Oreochromis niloticus: one gene and its partner. The protein of the gene in region 1 interacts with the protein of each later gene in a pairwise test. Links are inferred from orthologs where the notes say so. Each region holds a gene or a part of one and is shown on either strand. Other genes may lie near its edges. The genes, in order: naif1 and sox14.

The links.
Region 2: the proteins of naif1 (region 1) and sox14 interact in binary tests that used the Homo sapiens proteins (3 or more experiments, as listed by UniProt). The two-hybrid records come from large-scale screens. The link is inferred for Oreochromis niloticus from reciprocal best matches to the Homo sapiens genes NAIF1 and SOX14.

The regions. Positions count from the first base shown.
Region 1 is NC_031972.2:34,729,970-34,741,123, forward strand, and holds naif1 (nuclear apoptosis-inducing factor 1), read left to right. Parts: upstream 1-6,547; 5' UTR 6,548-6,948; coding exon 6,949-7,393; intron 7,394-8,348; coding exon 8,349-8,399; intron 8,400-8,798; coding exon 8,799-9,361; 3' UTR 9,362-9,366; exon of another isoform or gene 9,367-9,981; 3' UTR 9,982-10,296; downstream 10,297-11,154. Other genes in the region: folylpolyglutamate synthase, mitochondrial, read left to right, coding at 1,909-1,986, 2,141-2,202, 2,608-2,710, 2,793-3,096, 3,216-3,299, 3,381-3,531, 3,703-3,778, 3,889-3,949 and 1 more. UniProt on the Homo sapiens protein: Induces apoptosis.
Region 2 is NC_031986.2:32,082,970-32,094,269, reverse strand, and holds sox14 (transcription factor Sox-14), read left to right. Parts: upstream 1-6,986; 5' UTR 6,987-7,570; coding exon 7,571-8,287; 3' UTR 8,288-9,146; downstream 9,147-11,300. UniProt on the Homo sapiens protein: Acts as a negative regulator of transcription.

The DNA of each region.
Region 1 (11,154 bases):
CTCCGAAAACATTAGAGCACTTATGCAAATATGTGATGTCTTGCTAAATCGAGCAGATATTTGAAGTTTACACAGCACCATTCTCGCATGAAAATATCTTAAAAGTTTATTTTGTGACCCAGAAAGAGTAATATTTCAAACTCTGCCACTCTGTGTTCCTCCGCCACTGCCTCGTTTGAGTTTTGGATGAAATGGATTCTGAGATATTGCATTTCGTCATTTCGAGCTGATTGGAGACGAAAACAGCCAATCGGATTTTTTTGCATCCAAGTCTGTGATTGGCTGGTTTTGTGGCACAAATATAACGGTGTACAGAAAGAGTTGAGCGCGCACGGGCAGAAATGTTGAGAGCGCAAGCAACACATTGCAAGCAAGCGCAAATGCAAAAACTGAGCGAGAGGGGCTGCTATTGTGTGTGTGTGTGTGTGTGTGTGTGTGTGTGTGTGTGTGTGTGTGTGTGTGTGTGGTTAATAGCAAACACTGAAATACATTTTTTGCACGCAGCAATGAGTTTTGTTCACTCAAATTTAGCTTTTCTTTGCTTGAAATAAATTTCTCCTCAAAATGCAACACTTGAACCTGCAAATGTTTTTTACGTGCGCTCAAATTTTTTTTTATGTGCGCTCAGAATAGTGGCACAAAAATAACGCCATACTAGCCCAACTTCAGTAACCCTACAAACGTCACTGCTGTTTAGTTTTCTGTCTTCATTTATGTTGGAAGTGATAGCAGAGCTGTACGTTTTAATTTTTTCAGAAATCTCTGTCAGAACATGCTATATCATGTTTAGGTGGAAACTAGCGAGTTAACTTCCTGTTAACTTCTAACTCTGTTAAATTTAATAAATTCTGTTTTCATGGATGCCTGGATGTTAAACTTAATTGCTACACCTGGTAAAGCAGCAACGCTGATGATTTTATTAAAGATGAAAGAGTTTAGACAGTTTTTAACTCTCAGTGATGTTGCAGTGTTCGTTTGACTTTGGGACCTGAAGCACACGGAGTTTTGGACCCAGATTACCCCGAGTCCGCGAGGCTCCTGACTACAGTAGCCGTAATGCTCCAGCAATCCATCAAGCGGTGCGGCTTTGTAGCTTACCAAAGTCATACTAAAACATTTTTTTTGACAGATTTTTGAGTGCCGTGTACCACATAAAATCGGTTCGAGGTCAGTTAGCACAACCAGAATTCATACATAAGATGCACCAGATTATACACTGCCAATTTTTGAGAAAATTGAAGGATTTTAAGTGCGCCTTATAGTGCGGAAAATACAGTAATTACCCACCACAAATTTTTACCACAGCTTTCGATCTCTCTAACATAATACAGACATGCTTTAGATATGAAAATCAGACCAGCCCCTTCTTCACTTCTGTTACTTCTGGAAGGTTTCAAAGTATTTTTAAACTCTGGAATTTAAAATAAGTGACTTTAAATGATGTTAAGATTTTAACTGAGAGTGAGCAAGATAGACCGGATTAGAAAATGAGTGCATCAGAGGGACAGTGCAGGATATATTGGACAAAGGATGATAATATGGAGCTGCCAGGCAGGAGGAGAAGAGGAAGACCACAAAGAAGATTCATGGATGAAGTGAAGGAGGGCATGTGGAGGGTTGGTGTAACAGAGGAGGATGCTGGGATAGGGTGAGATGGAGGCAGATGATCCACTGTGGTGAACCCTGAACAATTCAGTTGAAAACAGAAGGAGAAGAAGCCATCAAGGCTTTTAATAAATTTGAGATCGTATTTGAAAGGTAACATCTTAAAATTAATTAAAATAAAACTCTCAGACGGGCCACTGATAACCTGATGTGATCATTTGGAAAAAAATAAGATGAATATATCATCTTTGGTGTATAAACAAACAGACTGATGATTCTTTACTTTTTCCTTTGACCCATCAGGATGCTAACGGAGGGACGATGCCGACATATTTTGGTATCCTCACCATCTTGGCCTTCCATATCTTCCTTCAGGAGAAGGTACACTGTCAAAAGCAGCCAGAAAATGTTTATATGGAATTTATTCCTGACACATGTTATGTACTCATTTATCTGACTTACATGCAGGCAGTGGTGCAGGTCTTATTTACTATAAACACTCCTTGGATCTAAATGGCTCTTTGTCTTTGCTCAGGTGGATTTAGCTGTGATTGAAGTTGGTATTGGAGGAGCGTACGACAACACCAACATAATACGGTGAGATTTAAACTTAGCACAGCATAAGTCTTTAGCATAACATGCGAAATATCACAAACAATGGAAAAGCTTCCAAATCAAAACACAAACTAACGCCTTTTGGTGAAATGGTACCAAGTGGACACATTTAAAAAGCCTTTGTCATAAGAATCACTGGAGTCTGTCTGTCTTTATACAGTTTTTGCACCACTTTATGCAACATTACATCTTTTTTTTATTTTATTTTTTTTTACAGTATTTACATTTCTTATTTATATTAGATTTTTGTTGTTGTTGCTGTTTTTTCCAAACATAATTTGCTCAGTGTGACTCTTTGGGTACACAGACCATTTATTTGTGTTGTACAGAGAAATTTGATCAGTGTACAGTCTCGGTTGTCACTATCATGCCTGTGTGTTTCGACAGGAGGCCGTGGGTGTGTGGCATCTCGTTCCTGGACATAGACCACACTGATATTCTGGGAGACACCATCGAAAAGATCGCCTGGCACAAAGCGGGCATATTCAAGGTGTGTTCACAGTAGTGAGTGAGTCACTGATTCAGTCTGAATGCGTGCTTTTTTTAGTAATGCTGCATATTTGTGTTTGCAGCCTGGAGTCCCCGCCTTCACCATCAGACAGCCAGAGGGCGCCATGCCCGTGCTCGAGCAACGGGCCAAAGAGATCGGGGTAAGTCCACTTTCAGTCAGATCACACAGGAAAGTGAAGCTTCAACTTTCTATAACTCTCTCTAACCTGTTGTTGCAGTGTCCACTGTGGATGTGTCCACAGCTGGAGGACTACCAGGCGGAATGTAAACCTTTGCACCTGGGCCTTGCAGGACAGCACCAGCGCTCCAACGCCTCCCTCGCCCTCCAGCTGAGTCACACCTGGCTTCAGATGAGGGGTCTACCAGGTTGGGCTTATGTTTAAATATATGTCCAAAAATAAATTAATAAATATTACAAAATAATGCAAATAACAACTGCAAGCTTTGGTCAGTGTACCTTCAATGTACCGGCCCTCTCTGAACAGATAACAGCTTACCCTACATCACTGTTAACAACGGCAGGATGCTTCAGGCGACTGCCTTCACTCCCAGCCCCATGATGGTGAAAGGTGAGTTCCGCAGAGCCAATCAGACAACAACAGGACCCAGCCGAGGCCAGCTGAGGTAACAGTGAATGTGTTTACTCTCAGGGTTGGCAGATACCGAGTGGCCCGGCAGGAGCCAGACCCTAAAACGTGGAGCGGTCACCTACTTCCTGGATGGAGCTCACACCCTACACAGCATCCAGGCCTGTGCTCAGTGGTTTAGAGAGACTGCAGCTGAGCACGAGAGGAACGCCAGGTGAGCTAAAAAAAAAAAAAAGATAAGAAGAATTTTTAATTAAACGTTTAGCCCGGTCCCCGTTGTTAACAAAATGGACCAGAGAGTGTGTTCCAGTTGTTGGTGGATCTACAGGAATATTTTTACATCAAATGCTATGTGATGTGACACTTTGATGTGTTTGTGTTTTAGTGGCCCTGTGGCCAGAGTTTTACTGTTCAACGTTACAGGAGAGAGAGACGCAGCTGCTTTCCTTAAACTCCTGGTTGTGAGTAGTTTTTTGAACCTGAATGCATTTGTGGGTATGTTGGCATGGACGTGATTGTACTTATAGAGTTGTAAAACAATTTTTTTTTGCTATTTCTTGTTTCTTTCCAGCCGTGCCACTTTGACTTTGCTGTGTTCTGCCCATGCATCGCTGAAGTCGGCACTTCCAATAGTGAGTTCGCTGAATCTTTTTGCACCTGTACAGATCGTTCTATATAAAATCAGTTTGGACACTGGATCTGAGTGTCCAGAGGTGTGCAGGTGTAATCTAATTCTATCTGATGCACATTTTTAGTTTTTTCTTGTCTGGAGTTTGTGTTGGAGTCTGTTTCCAGATGGAGATTATCCAAGAAGAGCTGGTTTTATCCAGTGAATGATTCTGAACCAAAAACTTTGAAGTTATTCTTTCACCTTATTCTTCCTCCTCAGTTCAGGAGAAGAAGTTTGACATGTCTGTGGAGGAGATGCTGAGTCGCTGCTTGGACAATGAGAGGATCTGGCGCCTCCATAACCACCAGGATGACAACAGAGATAATCTGCTGCTGATAGAGGACAGCCTTCCTCGTTTACCTGAGAACAGAGGGGACACCTTGGTATTCCCGTGCATCTTCAGCGCCCTCCAGTGGATCACACATGGCAGGAACTCAGTGCTGTCTGACCAGGCCAAGACGACGCTCCCGGTTAAACCGAGCGTCACGGCCAAAGCTGCTTCTCTCCGCGAAGCTAGCGATATCCAGGTACTCATCACTGGAAGCCTTTACCTGGTGGGAGGAGCTCTCAAATACCTCGACCCAGCTTCCTCCAAGTGAACAGAAGTGTTTTGTATTTGCACAACTGCGAGAGATTTGCTTCCAGGGAAGAGGGTTGTTTGTGGTTTTAGTTTTTCCTGACTTATTTTCCTGAATTTGATTATTTTGTCTGTGACCAAGGTATGAAGGTGATTTTACTTTTTGGATGCTAATCATAAACAACGTTTGAGTATATTTTTGTAACAGTGGCCAAAACTCAAGTTTGTAAGTTTGACTGGATTGCAAATAAATGATCTTTTAATGATCTTTTTAAAATGTAAAGTTTTTGATCACAGACTGGATAACGTTGCCTTCAAAGCTTTTCTCTTATTTGCATCACTAAATTCATCGGCTTCCTCGTTGGTTCCAAGTCACAAAGTTTTGCAAGCTGGAGTCCATGGGTCATTTTGACCTTGAGTCTCAGTATTTGATCAGAGTAAACATGAAACTGGACTATATGCTGTGATACACGGACGTAAGATGACATTCTGCTGACCTGCAAACGTTTTCACTAACCCATCCAAATGATTGAATTCAGGTGTTCCAATTATTTCCGTGACCACAGGTGTATCAAGTCAAGCACCAAGGCATGCAGACTGCATGTTCTCTGCAGTGATGAGTCAAGCTTGTCTTTTTGGAAATCTGATGTATGAACCTAAAATACTGAGCTGGTTTAAAAAAAATGCTTACAAACCTAAACTGAAAAAAGCAATGGGAAAATGAAAAGGTGCCAAACAAGTGCAAAAAAAGAAAAAAAAATGGTTTAACACGCAAGGTTCCACATATGATGTGGGGTAATACTGAGGTACAAATAGTACATTAAAAGTAGTGATGGGGAAAAACAAAAAGGTTGAAGCTTCTAAACCAAAGGAACCATGACAAAACAGCACAATATAAAACAAGGTAAAAGTTTGAAAAAAAGAAATAAAGTACTGAAGTCCAAACTTTTCATGTAGTGCAGAAACAAATAGTTTTTTACCCTGAGACGTAAAAGCAGCTTCAGAGCTGCTTGATTTGTGTCGGTTTCATGATAATTTTTAAGTTCTTGTTTTGCCTCTTGTCCTCCTTTTTTCTTTATGCACTTCGTCTTCTACCTTCTTCTACCTTTTTTTGTATTTGCACTTTGTTTTCTTGCTTTATTTTGTCTTTCATGCCCCATTGACAGATAGTTTTTCCTTTTGCTTTCAAGCACCTTTCTTTGTTACGGTATTGGTGACAGTCCCCATGAGGGTCCCTGCACATCATGTGGGAGGCCAAGGTTCAATTCTCTGATAAGGCACTGTTACAATATTAACAAATATGAATTGACTCTTGAGGAAAAAAAAATCTCCAAAACACTCACATGGTATTTGTTGCCATGTAAACTACAAGTTTAAACACAAAAAGAGAAACATGGGGCACAAGACTCTGTTAGCTTTTTTACTCCTTTGTTCTTAGGGCAAACTGTTTCTGTTGTGTATTTGTCATTGTGTTTATCACACGTGGAAAACATTCTTTGTTCAAACGCAGATGGAAACAAAGTTGGTGGGTAGCTCTAGAACCAGCTCAGTTTTCAGTGGTTTCTTTCAGTCTGAAGAACAGATTTTGTTCCCCTGATCAGGAAGCAGAGTCCCATTGAACAGACTGAGTGAGCTTAACATATCAGAGCTATTTAACAAAGAAGAGATTAAAAAATGCGAGTTTCACCTACAACAATCTGAAGGAAAGAAGAATCCTCCAGACGGGAGAAAAACCATTATCGAAAAACTCTGACCAACCTCAAGCAAGACAGCTTCTCTGCATTTCACTGTCAAATCATTAAATCAAGACACTGAAAATTATATATTATATATTAATATAATTGTAATTCTGAGGCTTTTATTTCATGGTGTCTTGGAAAGCTGTAAATAATGAGAGGTTACAATAATTATAATATTGATTATTAGTAGTAGTATTCAGTTTAAAGACGTGTTTAGAATTGTTACCTTTTAGCAGCAGTATTAAAACCGTGCTGTTGATGAAGCAGTCATATCCCAGCTCACGTTTCCCCTTAAGTTTTCTTTTTTACGTTTTAAACGTTGTTTTCGCTCAAGTGTAACTCGGAAAAAAGCGAGACAACGGTAACATTTCTTCTTTTTTTACTTCGTCTTTTTGTTTGGCTCGTTGAGTTGATTGGCTTTTGTTTGGTCCAATAGTAAGAGAGAATACCACATGACCGCGAGATCCTCAACCAATGGAAGTCTCAGTGGGCGGGGTTCCGTCCTTCGTCTAACGTAAGCGTCGTTAGTAGGAAGAAGAAGCCGATTCTGGAAGCCATTACGTTGCGCACATTAACGGAGTAAATCCTACTATTTTTGCGTACAATACGCACAATTACCTGCCGTAAAGACGCTTTTCTGCACTTATGGCATCGGTGGCCAAAAAGAGAAAAATGAATTTCTCGGAGAGGGAGGTGGAAATTATAGTGGAAGAAATAGAGAAACAAAAGCACACACTGGTTAACCACTTCAATGCCGGAGTCACACACATGGCCAAGAATAACGCGTGGATGGACATCCTGAAAAAGGTGAACCAGGTCACCACCTGTCCGCGCGAGCTGCCCGAGGTGAAGAAGAAGTGGTCCGACATGAAGACGGAGGTCCGGCGGAAGGTGGCCCAAGCGCGGGCTGCCATCGAGGGAACGTCCGCGGACTGCACTCCAGTTCCCGTCATCCTCACCGCCATGCAGCAGCGGATCTGTAACCTGCTGGGAGAGGCCACCATCATCAGCCTACCTGCGGGAGACTCGGATGCTGAGATCTCCTTACCTGTAACCGTCAACGCCGCCGCCACCGTCACTCTGACGGAGGGTGAGTGCCGCACGGTGATGTACGGAAAGTGATGCGTGCCGAAAATAACTGTGCGTGTAACACTAAAAAAAACCCAAAGTGTGAAATTGTTATAAGTATTTTCTGAAACCACTGAAAATTCAGACCAAAATAGTGAATGTAAATGTTATTAAATGTAAACGTAAGCATTATAGTTTAGTTACATGTATGTTTCTACCTGAAAAGTAAATGTAAAGGTAAAAATTGGTCTAAATTAAATATTTTCAAGTATGGGTTAATATTGCATTCAAATTCAAAATACTACATGAAGTGCAAAATAACTAAAACTACGCATTAACGACACAGGCTCAATGTTTAATGTAAGTATTTTTAAATGTATTATTACATGTAAACAAAAAAGTAATAGCTTATTAAATTTACATTTAAAAGTTAATAGGTTAATTAAATCTTTTAAATAAATCTGTGAGATACATACTAAAAAGTAGGAATTACATTCAAACTGCATACAAACATAAATGTACTAAATTCTAAATGTTAAATCTCAATATTAAATGTAAATTTAAATTATTATCTATTATTATTAGATACTTTAAAACATAATATATAGTGTATAATGTATGATTATGAAAACATTAAAATATAAATGCAAAATGTTAAATCTAAATAATAAAGACAGACTGGATACTACCATAGTTAGCTATTGAAAGCCAAGTGGGCTGAAATCAACAGCAACATTTGACACCAAAAATGTAATAAATGTTAAATCCTAGTGATTACTTATTAATATTTTAATTAAATACTAATTTGGACTGTAAATATGAAATCTGATCATATGAACATAATAATACATAACAAAAATGTAACCCTAAATGTAACACTTAAATTTAGAGTTACATTTTTAAAATAAAAACTACATTGTAAAGATTTGCTGATAGTTTCATTGAGTCTTTAGCTTCTTCCTCTGGTTGTCTTTCAGCTCTTCCAGCCGGTGCCGGGACAGTCTGTGACAACTCAAAGCAGCTGCACGGTACGTTTCATTTCTTTGTAAATGTTCATACTTTACCCGTGACACTTGCAGAGCCATCAGGGTTTCTAATCACAACTCTACTGGACTGTGTGGTGTTGAACTGCTGCGCTTTAAAAGGTGCATTTTAATCACCACTAGGGATCAAATTTTAACTTTTACTATTAAATGCAAATTTTTTCTTTTTGTCTGGTTAAATGAATAAAGGTTACACTGATTCACTGCGCCGTCTTGTGATGGTGATTGGTATTACATGACAGTACAGCCAAGCCCTAATTCCGCTTCAGCTGATATTTCTTCAGCACAGTAGAAAGATGTTTCAGACATGCATTCAGAGCAATTGTTTCTTCATGTTCTTTGTAAGGCTTTTAATAAACATCTGAAACTGTTTCTTGTTTCCAGCTGAGACGACATACCACACTCTGGAGGATGGCGGCGTGGTGGAGTACTGCACCACCACTGAGGGCGATTCCGCCCCGACTGTGGTGGCCGCGGTCGAGGGTCCTGTGGAGATGCTGGCCTCGTCTTCTGCTTCCCCACCACCGCCTCAGAGTCAGGCCAAACCACAGGAGCTGAAGAGCCGCATTGCTCTGAACTCCGCCCGCCTGCTGCAGGAGCAGCGAGTCACCAACGTGCACATCCGCCAGATTGCCCAGCACCTGGAGGGCCAGAATGAGCTGCTGCAGATGATGCGACGCTCCCAGGAGGCGCAGGCGTTTGCCCAGGAGAGGCAAGCTCAGGCACTGGAGGGCACGCAGGCCGCACTGCTCGCGTTGGTGCAGATGCTCCGACCGGCTCTCAAAGACCTGAGGAAGTTTCTGCAGAGCGGGTCTGAGGCGGCGAACGCCAGTAGCTCTGTGGCGACGCCGGCGACTGGAGCAACCATTGATGGAGCGGCAATGGAGGAGCAGAGCAGGCCCAAAACACCTCCACTTCCTACACAACAGACTGAGGAGGCGCAGTAGACTCTGTGCGTGCTTGTGTGTGTGTGTGTGTGTGTGTGTGTGTGTGCGTACGTGCGTGAACCATGATTACAATTATGCCTTATGAAGAACATGTACAGAAGCAATGGAGAACTATTATTTTTATTTTTTGCCACGACTTCATGTTATTTAATACCCTGAATCTGGTTTTCTGATCTTTTTATGCAACTATTTCGTCAGCCTGATGGAAAATTAACGGGTTGGTTTTTTTAGACCGTGGCGAGCCAGGTTTGTCCGTGAGCTGCACTTTAACCAGCATGTGTTCAGACCTGAATAAAGTGAAAAAGAGGCCAAACTCTTTATGTCCTGTCACATCTCTCCTGTCCCAGGGGCAGATGTTCATGTTAAACATGGTAAAAGAAGTCAGTGTGTGAACCAATGATCCCCATGAGTCAAAAGTTGTAAACACTTATTTTCACACAGTTTTTTCTACTGTTAGATCTGTATCATGTCATAGAGAGCAGGCTTTCTATAAAATACTTGAAACACGTCCAAAGTTCCACTCATCTCTTGGTATCGTCTTCTTGTGCAGCTCTAAATTGTTTTCGGAGCTTCCATCCGCTGCAGTGCTCTTATGTTCCTCCTGTACTGTTACTCTACAGTGTGTGATGGATCTTGTCCAGTGCGTCCAAATGTTTGAGGGAGGTGATCGTGATGGCGTGCACCACAGTTCATTTCCTCTGATTGTTCACTATCAGATGCCTCAGAGGACTTCACAGCAGACCTCAGCAATGATGGTCTCACACTGGGGGATGATTTCATGGTGCAAAACTCGTTGAATGTTCAATAAAATGACAAGCTCTTGAAGGCGTGCCTTCAGGCTGGAAAACTGGATTCTGGGTGGATGTTTCGATATATACTAAATAAAGCTAACTATGAAACATAAATCATGAAGCCTACTCTAAAAAAGCCAACAGTTTGAAAGATGGAAATGGAAATAAACAGAGCAGGATGTTTTTTTCTGCTGGCTGTAGTGCTTACAACCAGCCAGCAGAGGTCAGTGTAAGTCAGAGTTTCATTACAGGTGTGTGAGCAGTGACGTTTGAGGTCCTGAGAGGGTGAAAGGAAGGAAATCCGTCTTTTAGTATCAGTATCAGATTAACTTTCACAAATGAGGACACTGTAGTACTGCAGGGTGTACTGGAGTTTAATTTGATGTTTTCATTTAAAAACCCTTAACAAATCAGTTATTCCTGAAATAATTAAAGTATTATTACTTTATAGTTCATCATTTCTACTTAGGGTTGTTTGCTGAACCTCTTTTTCCTTTTCCAGTCATGTGACCTGTCCCTAACAAAGAGAGGTATCTAAAAAAGCCCAGTAAAGCACATTTTACTATGAGTATTCCTGAGTTTAGAGCAAACATCGGCAATAGCTCCTCGACCCTGTTGGCTGCTGACACCATAAGATGAGATCCATTGATGTTAGTTCCTGATATTTATCAGTTTTTAATCGATTTTTTTAAGACGGCGTCTTCGTTTCCTGAAGCAAAGAGGGCACGAGGCAAACCACAGTTTTGTATTTAGTTTAATTAGTTTCTGTGTTAGTATTATTGCATGGGGGGCATATGTCAGAGGGAAGATTTGGGAAAGTTGATACAGGTATTACAATAAAAACAGTTTTTAAAGCAGTGACTCGCAGTCTTGCATCCAGAGTCTCAGTAAACACGTCCATCAACGTCTCATCAGGGACGTTTTTATCAAACTACTGATGTACTAAAACTACTATATTAATAGTTTACTTTTTTCAAAGGTGTAGTTTTTATTTTTATTTTA
Region 2 (11,300 bases), on another chromosome or scaffold:
TGATATGTAGAATTTGGTGGTGTTAAAGAGTCACGGCGTGGAATATTAATTTTTAATTTCAGTTTTGAATTCATCACCTGACTTCCAGTAGCCTTACAGCACATCTTGAGGTTCAGGTCCCAGATCGGTCCTGTGGTGGCCCTGTGGTGAAAGATAAAAAAGACAGGCCCTAGGTGAACAGGAATCTATGAATATGGCTATAGGATGTAAAGGATGATCTGGCCTTTACTTAACTCTTTATATGTTGAGCCAGACACTTTTACAGCACAGTCGACCAGCAAAATGTGCTCGCTTGCCTTTGCTTTACCCCTGGCAGTCTACATTATAACCGGCAAATCCAATTAATCAAAACATTATATTTCATAAAGTGCCATATTAAAAAGCATTTTTTCAATAATTAAAAAGGTCTGACAGAGCCTGAATGCCAATGCTGGGCATGCACTCCAACAGACAAATTACATCCACTGATGAGATATGGCTCCTGGCTATAATGAGAGGTAATAAATGTGTCCGAGGTGTTATCGCGAATATTTTACTTAAAAGGTTGTAAAGCAGCTGTTAATTTGAAAACGTCCCCAAATACAAAATGTCGTCGTGTGACTAAAATAAGCTGTGATTTGGGAGCTCTTGTCAGAAATGAGTTCTGTACATCATCATCTTGTTAACCATGTTGGTATTTAGTAATTAATTTTACCTCAAGCTTTGCTTGGCATTAGCAAAGTAAAGCTTTCTCATATCTGATTTTTTTTTCCAATATAGAAGTAATAAGTGAACAACTGAATGTGAAATGATGCAAGCTCACTGGGCCTCAACACGGAATGAAAGCTATGTCAGAGCTATGAAGAACTCCATCTTCATTTTATGGTGAAGGTTTTTCTGGTATCGTAGGATGAAGTTTTTTTTCTTTCTGAAGTTCTGCACCTGTTACCAAAAGATTGGGAAGGACAGATGAGGACTTTGGCGGTGGATATTTTGTAATGGTATTTTATACATGGTCCTAAAGCTGAATATCAGTTTCTTAAGATCCACAATTAAGGTATCTATACTTGGACTTTTGCTTTGTTTTGATTTTTAAAACTCTTTATCCTGGTGATGGAGAAAAGATTATTTGTTGTATTAAAACTTTATTCCAGGTATCTCTTATCAATATAAAGTTGTGGCATTTGGTCATGTTTTTTTGTAGAAATCTAAATTGTAAATAAAAAATCAGGGCTTACTGGGTCAAAAGGAAGAATTCTAGACATGGTACAGTTGTGACGGGTCTGTTTTTCACATGCAGTTTGATATCCGTAGTTTCCTCATGATGAATCCAGTACAAGTCTGTTGTGACATCTGCATCCACCATCTGAAAGAAAGGATCAGCAGACATGATCCCATAAACTCACTCCCAAGTCCTTAGAAGTCGTTTGGTAACCCAGGGAACACAAAAGAAATTCCCTTGGTGATTTGTCTGATATGTGCAGAAGTGAGGATAGATGGTAGAAGATCTAACCTCACAGTCAAAAACATGTCGTAGGAGAACTGTATGTACTGGAGATTATCAAGAATTTAGAAGTTGTGATTGTAAAAGCCTGCTTCTATCACAATTTCTATATACATGTATTTTATTGTTGCTCATTGCCCATTGCAGGAAGGTCAGGTCAATGGTTTACAGGACTCATTTCCGTAAGCAATTCTCTTGTATATTTCTATTCACCTCACATGTTAGTCAGCGGTATTCTTTGCCTCCACTGATTGTTTCTTTTAATCACTCACCTGAAGGTTAGTGTAACTCAGACATTTCTATAAGTTGCAAATTTCATTGACATTCCATAGTCTGGTCACTGTGTTGCTGTTAGTCATTTTCTGTGTGCACTTTAAGTTGAACTCCATCATTGGCAAGAAGACGATCACAGTACCAGGCAAAGTAAGCAGATTTCAAGGAAATGATGATCATGAATATCAGTGGAGATGCTTGGCCATCGGGCAGAGACTGATGATGTCTGGACACTATAGTTGCTGAACAGAACGGAAAGGTGAGGGTGAGGTGAGGGGGCATGTTGAAAGACTAAAGCTCTGACTCTAGGCCCTTGTAGAGTTGTTTAACAAGTGAGAACTCGGATCAGTTCTTTAATTCTTGAATACTGTTGAGTTGGTCAACTGGCTACCATTAACTGATTTATTTGGGTCTTTGTCTGAAGGCTAGGTTCTTATCATCAGTCCACATATAAGCACAGGGTAATTTTCACTCTAGAGTCAGTACTCCTGTCCTTATAACTTTAGTACCTTCAAGCAGGTCGGTAGTGTACAATTTCTATTTTATTTCTATCCTCTATTGTTTTGAAATGACAAGAAAAACATCTGGACCTGGATAGAAATTCTAAAAAACAATATGAGCGTTGTGCGTCAGAGGTTCCGTGATACTACTGAAGACATGCTGAATAACTATGGCATCTTGCAACATGGCAGATTCCCAAACAAAGCTCTTTTGGTTAGTTCTACCCACTGACTCTGGATATGTTTTTTAGTACCCTCAGGAATCATGTGACCATTTCAGGGTTAACCTGGTAGGTTTGGCATATCCAGTAAACATACTTATCAGTTAACCTGATCTGAGTGACGAAGATGTCTAAGGTTGAGCGTCTTTTGGTTTTACCTGAACTCCGCATAGACTTGTATTCTGGATGTGGTCAAGCTCTTAGAAAACCCTGGAACACCACGTTAACAGTCAGCAGTGTCAACGTGTCAGCTTATTGAAAAACTTGAGAATAAATATTTTAAATTATTAAATAAATTGTTTAGCGTCAAAATGATAAGGTTTGCATAACACCAGTTAACCCTGCTCTGAAATGGATGTATTTGTTGTTTAAATTGTATATACATATGCATCACTACTTATTGAATTTTTTTTCTGAATATGCATCTTATGTTATTGTTTGGTAGCAGTTCAGATTCTCATTTATGCTGGTTAAATCTTATCTACTGAGTCACAGTCTCATGTGAAAGGCTGAAATCCCCCTGCAAGGAAGGCCAGCTCTAAATGAGTTTTTTTTCTCTTAATGAAGGTCAGGAGAGAGTCACATCTTTCCTTTTGTGATAATTTATCCCTATCTCCTGTTATCTCTGTTTTGCCCCTTTAATCCTAATTGTATTGTATAATTGTGTGATGTGGACCTCTTGGTCTTTGAAGTATTGGCCCTATCCTTTCATTATTACCTGATGCCTTGAACCTCTGTTAATTTTTTTTCCAGCTCCGTTCTGTATTATCCAGTGTTGGAGAATAAAAGAGAGAGCAGCTTAAGTTCAGTCATTTCGAATTTTATTTAAGTCTGATTTCTCTATCTTCCTGAGAAATAATTTCACCACAAAGATATATATTGAGCTTAGTAATACATGTTGGCAATACATCTCAAATGCGGCTCATTGCTGTTTTGATTGCTTCTCAGTGTTAGTGAATGGGACTTGTAATGGGATAATGTAAAAAGATCTGCATTATTGTATGCAGAATTTGAGTTTTAGAATTGCTTCTATATGAGTGAAAGAAAGCCCTTTTTGTGTGTTTAACATTGCATGAATAATTATCAACAGCCAAAGTCTGAATATACATTTTTTGTGCCATTGCTGGGGACAAACAGCTTGACCATGAACACTCAGTTTTCAGTATATGAGGCTATAAATGAAGCTGATAGAACATTTTCTCTATACATGGTTAAAAAGACATTCTGCTTTAACTATGAAATACTTTTACATTCAGACTGAACATTTCGTAGAGATGTGTGCATATAAGGTTCTGCAAAATTAAAGCGAAAGAACAACTTTCAAAGAGAGCTCACTATTATCTGTGCAAACTACTGAATAAATATTGAAGCAAAACTGTAAATGGCACTGTCTATTTGCTGGTACTGTGTACTGTATGGTTCTACTTTAATATTAGCAGATCGTCACCACCATCTTGAGAGCAATGATTCAATATAATAACATAATAGATGATGCTGTAATACATGCTGTATCCAACATGCACTGGCCGAGTTAGACTTAATCCTGCACTGATGCTAAAGTACAGGACACGCAGACATATTCTGACAACATAAAAATGTTTGTGTGCCTAAGATAATTTATGTTGCCACAATTTATTAGTTCCAAATATGGTTCAGCAGTAGTTCTTCCACACTGTGGAAAAAAATAGGCTTAAAAACATTCTGCTGGGAAGAAGGAAAAAAGTTAGGAAAGTTGTAGACCCATGTGAGTTGTCTCGGTTTCTAATATTTTATTTTTACAGAGAACCATCACTAAATAGGATGGAAATACAATAAAAGGCATTGAAATGTCAACCCTAGCTTTTAAGAGTTTTTGAGGGGAGGACGCAAGTGTGCAGTAAAGAAAACCTCTTACCGCTTCAGCACCATGGACAGTTACGGTAGGGGAGCTTACCTCAATGCTCTCCACGGGAACCCAAGTTGGCTAATAGGCTCTCCGTGTGTCAGGCCGCTCCCCATTCACTTTTTAAGGCGAGATGGATGGACATGTGTCCTGAGATCAGTTTGTGTGTGTGCGCACGCATGTGTGCTGTGTTTGTCTCACGCGCTCCTCTATGTTTGTGTGTGATTTGAATTTATTAGACTAAAAGTTTTAATTTTATTCTATTTCCATAAAAGCCTACATTAAACTTGCCCAATAGGCTGATTTTCAGGGTATAGTACTGATAGTGTGTTTAATTTTGGGAGTCATTTCTAAACCAAATATAGCCCGTTAAAGGCATTTTCCCCCACTTTTTAAAATTCCGTTTATATGTTGTTATCAGATCTTTTGGCATTTCCAAATAACTTAGGTTTGGACATCTTTTTACATTCAGGTGTAAAACCCAAACCCCAAAATTTCTTTATTGCATTTTTTATTATTATCTCAGAGCAAAAATGTACCGCGGCTGCATGTAATAAAACTAAAGATGGGAATAATAATCATCATCTGAGTCCTTGACGAATCAAACCCTATTGCATTTCTCATTATCCCGGTAAATTGTCGAGGGAACTTTCAGGCGTGCATTTATTAGACAATCAGTTTTTGAATAAGAAACATAGCCGACTTCTCCCTCGTGAGTATAGGAGGCTCAGCCCCTAAAATAATTTCCTCTTATCTAATTCATTGATCATAAAATGAAGCCGGTGTGGGCATGCAGCAGCAGCAGCAGCCTACATGTTAAATTGCATGCGCTGTTCTGCGATAGATAGCATAGCACAATTTAAAACTTCAATGCAAGCCGAAATATACAGTGCAAACATGCGGCATACTACCTCGCGGTTGCAGATGAGCATCATATAGCCTGTCGATTGCGAGGATTGTGTAGGAGCTGTTTCTCCCTCTTTCCTCCCTCTTTCCCCCCTTTTTTCCTGCCATCCTGCCATCGCGGATGTACTGGGAGGGGGGAAGGAAAAAAAAGTCGGAGACGTCTTCAACTGATTGTTCTCTGGGTCGGGGTGAGGAGGATCTCTCTCCCAAAACGATCATATTTTAGACGATATTTTCAAGTTTTTTTTGTTTTTTTTGTTTTTTTGTAAAGACAGATGTGATGGAAATCTTCTTGTTCCAAGCTGCCGATTGACGCATGCGTGTGCGAGGAGACAGGGAGCGGAGAGAGAGCGTGAGAAAGAGACAGAGATGGGGATGAAATGTGGGAATATCAGACAGAAAAACGAACAACGCTTTGCTTTATTTTGGTTCTCGAAATAAAATGAGGTTTGGGTCACGACAGTAAATTTATAGCCCGCGGACGTGTGCAAAAATCGGCGTTTTTTTTTAGACGGGTCATTCTGTATTAGAAACACGCTTGTGAGTGTGATGTGATGACATGTTAAAGAACCGAAAACCATCTTTAGAGTATCTGTTTACATTAAGCCACACAAAGAAGAGAGGAAGATGAGATGATAATACGCAGCCCGCAAAATACACATATGTACAGAGAGAGAGAGAGAGAGAGAGATGGAGGCCAAAGACAACCTTAAATAAATCTGCTTAGCAGTGTAACTAACTGGGGTTGTACCTCCACTTACAGCATTTGACGGTGTGTGTAGAGGGGGTAGAAAAAAATCATCTGTCTGCCTTTCGTTTAATAATCACAGCTGAAAGTATCATATATCAAGCACATTAGCCCGAGGGCTATTAGGCAGTGGTCCTGGTTGAAATTTGCATTTTAAAACGATCACTCTGCGCCTCTTTAAAAAAAAAAAAAATCTGTCAAATCGATGTGAACTAATGCAACAATTACAGACGCACAATGATGGCTCCTCTTAACGTTTGTAGTTATTGTTATATGTAATATTTCCTCGGTGATGGTAATTCTGCCGATGCCTAGTTTTAGTTTTACACATTGGCACGCGTGGGCCCAAATCGTGTGCGCGCCCGTGTGTATTATCATATGTGCGTGCTCGTGGGAGTTAGGTGGTTTAAGGGAATGCTAACAAAAAAAATGGACTTGTAAGAGGTTTTTGTGACCCCGTCCACACCCCCCAGCTACCCCACCAGCAGCGGGATAACAGAGGTTAAAACCGGCTGAAGTGTCCTCGAGCAAGAGAGGAAGACCTATCGGTTGCAAATGAACTGTCGTGCTTTTATTATTATAATTACTATTTTTAATGTTATTTATTTTATTTTATGATGTGAAAATGCGAATAAAACCGGGCTCCGCTGTATCAAAGGCCCACATATATGCGTGCATTTTGGGGGGGACTTTACGTCCAAAGTGCTCCCCGGCGTCTGTGCGTAAAGCTGTACAGTAAATTGGTTGCACGGTATAGTCACCTCTCTGGATTGAAGTCAGGTTTTAACTGGAAAAGAGGTTGAAGGTCCATGTTTGTTGCGATTCATTACATTAAATGGAATAGGGGAGGGATCCTGGGTATTACCCCCCTCCACACACACCACACACACATACACCCCTTTCCTTATTTTTTTTCTTCTTCTTCTTCTACTACTACCTCCCGCTCTTTGTTTATGTTGTAATGTACATATTTTTTCGTGAAGGTATTATAATAGCCGCTCTCCGTGCTGATTGGGCGCTCAGGTTGGTGAGTGAACGCCCTGCAGATTATGTCAGATTGCGTGCAGAAACCAAACCAGCCCAGCCTTTGAACTTCACCGCTTTTGGCTCGTATTCACGCTCTTCCGCTCATTTCCAAGCCAGGTGCTTGACGACAAACCTCAGAGAGAGAGAGCGCGCGCGTGTGTGGCAGAAAAAAAAAATAACACCTAATACTTTTACGACTCCAGCAAACTGACTGCGGAACATCGCTTTCACCTTTGTGGATTTTTTTTTACGTGTGTGCGTCTCGCATGTGTTTTTTCCCGTATTGCCTGGCGCAGGTCTGACAGAGTTGTTACTGGACTTAAACGAAGGCGCACCAGTGTTCAAACTCGGGGAAAACGCACCGGGCGCTGGATTTTTCTTTTCTTTTCTTTTGATTTTGTTTTCCAGAATCTGAAGATCCCAGGCGGGGCATGACTGGTATCGGGCATCTAGACAGGTGAATAGTTTGCCTTCTTTCAGATCAGAACTTTTCCTCGTTATTAACATTGGGGATAAAAGTATAGTCTTAAGATGTCAAAGCCTGCTGATCATATCAAGAGACCCATGAACGCGTTCATGGTTTGGTCCCGGGGCCAGAGGAGGAAAATGGCACAGGATAATCCCAAAATGCACAACTCGGAGATCAGCAAAAGACTGGGCGCTGAGTGGAAGCTGCTGTCAGAGTCTGAGAAGAGACCTTACATCGATGAGGCCAAGAGGCTGCGGGCTCAGCACATGAAGGAGCACCCTGACTACAAGTACAGACCCAGGCGCAAACCCAAAAACCTGCTCAAGAAGGACCGTTACGTTTTCCCGCTGCCTTACCTCGGGGACACCGATCACTTGAAGGGACTTCCCGTGTCGGCCGCGGACTCTCTTTTGGGCTCTTCAGAGAAAGCCAGAGCGTTTCTGCCGCCGACGTCCGCCCCGTACTCCTTCCTCGACCCAAGTCAGTTCAGCTCCAGCGCCATCCAGAAGATGACCGAGATGCCCCACACGTTGAGCACCAGCACTTTGCCGTACGCATCCTCACTGGGATACCAAAACGGCGCGTTCGGCACCCTTGGGTGCCCCAGTCAGCACACCCACACCCACCCGTCGCCCACAAACCCAGGCTATGTCGTCCCGTGTAACTGCACAGCCTGGTCAGCATCAAGTTTACAGCCCCCGGTGGCCTACATACTTTTTCCAGGTATGACCAAGACTGGGATAGACCCATATTCATCCGCACATGCCACTGCCATGTAACCCTCAAGACTCATTTGCTCTTTTTAATTCACTTGAATACTGAAATGCATGTAAATATATTATGGACAGCGCGCCCTATTAAAAAGGCATGAACAGTGTTAACTGCCTTGGACTTGTTATGGCACAAAAAAGAGGAAAAAACAAACAAACTTTTGCAGAAATCCACCAAGTTCCTGCCTGAGCAAAGGAGCTGGAGTTTGGTGTAAAGGACGGAGCCCTGTGAACTGTAAGAAATGTAAATGTTATAACGTTTATGGCAACCAGAAAAGGAGGCCTTTAACTTTATTTATTGTGTACATTTCAATGCTGATATGCTGATTTGTGTTGATTATTGCTAGGCTTCACTTTTATTTTGAAAAATTGGCTTGCACAATTAGCGTTCATATTTCCTGTATCAGCCTAAGGAGTCCACATTTTGGCAATTTTATGACGATGTTCTGGACATAGGGTCAAAATCAGGACATGTAGGCTGGATTATATACGGGTTATATTGTTTATATTTATCACAAAAAAGAGGAAAGAAAAAAGAAAACTGGCACATAAAACTATACGGTCTATTTAAGAAGACACAAATGAGGAAAAAAAAAATTCATTTACATCCAGATGTTTCATTTTGCATTTTTACCTGTGGTTCAGTGCTAATATAGTCACACGCGTCATTTTAGTTTGTTTTTTGTTTTTTAAGGATAACTTCTATTTGAATTCAAGGAGTTCTATGTGTATTTTCTATCTAAGATGGTAATTTAAAACCTGTCATGTTATGGAAAGGATAATGTATCTAGAAGGTTGATACCTCCTGCTCTTTGTTCAAGTGCCGAGCAAAGACATTTTCAATAAAGACAATCTGTCTTCAACCAGATCAATTTCCTGTATTTGTAGGTTATTGAGACCACAGAGATAGCGTTATAATGTGCACGTGTTGCGGGGGCGTTTAAACCGCCAAAATAAAAGCTCGATTAAATAGATGTAAAAGGTGTAATGATCACAAACTAATAGTTATTATAAAATTCAAATTAAAATAAATATACAAAATTAAAGTTATAAATTATGAAAATACTTTAATCTTTTTAAAGATAAAAAATACACCCGAGCTAATCAATACTGTTGATAGGCTGCACATTAGAACAATAACAACAAATCAATCCTCTCTTCCCTCATCGATCCCCTCTCCCTTGTGCGGTAGTTAAAGCTGTCAGTTCCACGCCCTTTGATCATTCCACAAAGCTTTATTCCTTAACTGCTTCTTTTTCTTTCTTTCTTTCTTTCTTTCTTTTTTTAAAAATTTTTTTATTATGATGATTGCTCTGCTTCGTGTTGCAGAAGCAGGGTTCAGGCATGTTCGGCGGTGCAGCATGATGAAGGTGTGTTTGTGACACCGGGATGAACCGGTTTTTGATGTTTGACAGTTCAGGAGAGGCCTCCCTGGAGGGATTCCGCCCGTCCGACTCGTCTGACTGCTTAATCACTTCAAGAAGCTACTTAATTATAGGTTTAACTAATGGAGAATACTGATTTTTTCTCTCTCTCTCTCTCTCTTTTTTCACCCAATCTGCGACTTTTTGGTTGGTTGTACAGCAGCCTACCACTCGGCTGTGATGCGGTTTAAAAAAATCTCTGCGTGTGCGATTTCTGCTCCAGCCAAAAACTTCGTTAAAACCTCTATCAGCGCCGAGTCATCCGCACGTGTTTAAACCTGCAGCGACCTGTGAATGAAAAAGGCCCCGGCTCTCATTAAGACAACAGAGAGTGAGCACAGCTTTACAACTCGCCCCAAAAAAACCAAGCAGGAATGAAAGGAAACTTGGACCCAGCGCGGGGTGCGAGGGGGTCTGTTTCTTCTTCTATTCTTCTTAATGGAGACTGATGGATTTGCGTACCGCGCGCGCGCACGTGTGTGAGTGTGTGTAGCTTGCCCATATTAACACTGTAGTATTAATTAAAAAAAATCATTCCACATCCAAATTGTTTACTTATCTGCCAGGAACATATGTGGGGAGAAGTTACCATTCTGCACTATTGCCCAAGGTGCAATTCCATCCTGGGGAGGAAGAGGAGGGAGGGCAGGGGAAAGGAGGAGAGGGGGGCAGATTTTTATGACAGACTTGCTTCTTATCTGGAGCTGTAAATTAGGGTGATACTTCATTGAACCGAATGTGAAGTTTTACATCAAAACCCTAAAGCGTTCTAATTCAACTTTGAAATGAGACAATTATAATTACTTTCAGGAGTAGCTGCGGACTTGGATAAAGGCCCGTCTGTATGCATATGTGTGTATATATATATATATAATTCATTTTAAAAATATATTTAAGACCGTATTGTTTGCAGTCTCTTTTATTTTTAAGTTTTACATCACAGGATTCACTCACTACCTGTAATTATCCAACTTAGTCACGGAAATTGAGTGCGGTTACAACGCCCTGAAATAAATAACGATAAACGGCATGTGAGAGGTATAATGGGAGGGAAATTATGATTTGGAATTATAGGGGGAAAGGGTGTGTGTGTGTGTGTGCGGGTGTGTGTGTGTGTGTGTTTAAATCTCTCTTCCCCCCTTGACGTTTTTATTGGAGCACAACAGAGAGAATTCAATCTGCCTTATCTCTCCAGGACTCCTTTTCAGCGCGAGATCAGAGGAAAAAGGAGAGGATAATTGTTCTTTATTTTATTTAATTTAACGCGACAGCCAGCGCTTTCAGGTCATTTATATGCTTCATTTGGTGATAAAAGTCAATGAGGAGGGGAAACACCGAGTAAAGCAGGCGCTTTGACTTCTTTTCATTATTATTTTATTTCTCTCAGCAACATAAAGTATATAAAAAAAAGAAGTAAAACAGACGAAACAATAATTGGATGAGGAGGGGAGGAGGTGGACATTTTTAATTAAAAGTCATGGGTCATTTACATTATTGTGTTTTAATGTCACCCTGAAATCATCAGCAGGAAATGGAGTTTGATAAGTGGCTTTGAGAATGTGGTTTTGTATTTAGGCGTGCTAATTTTCTAAAACAGG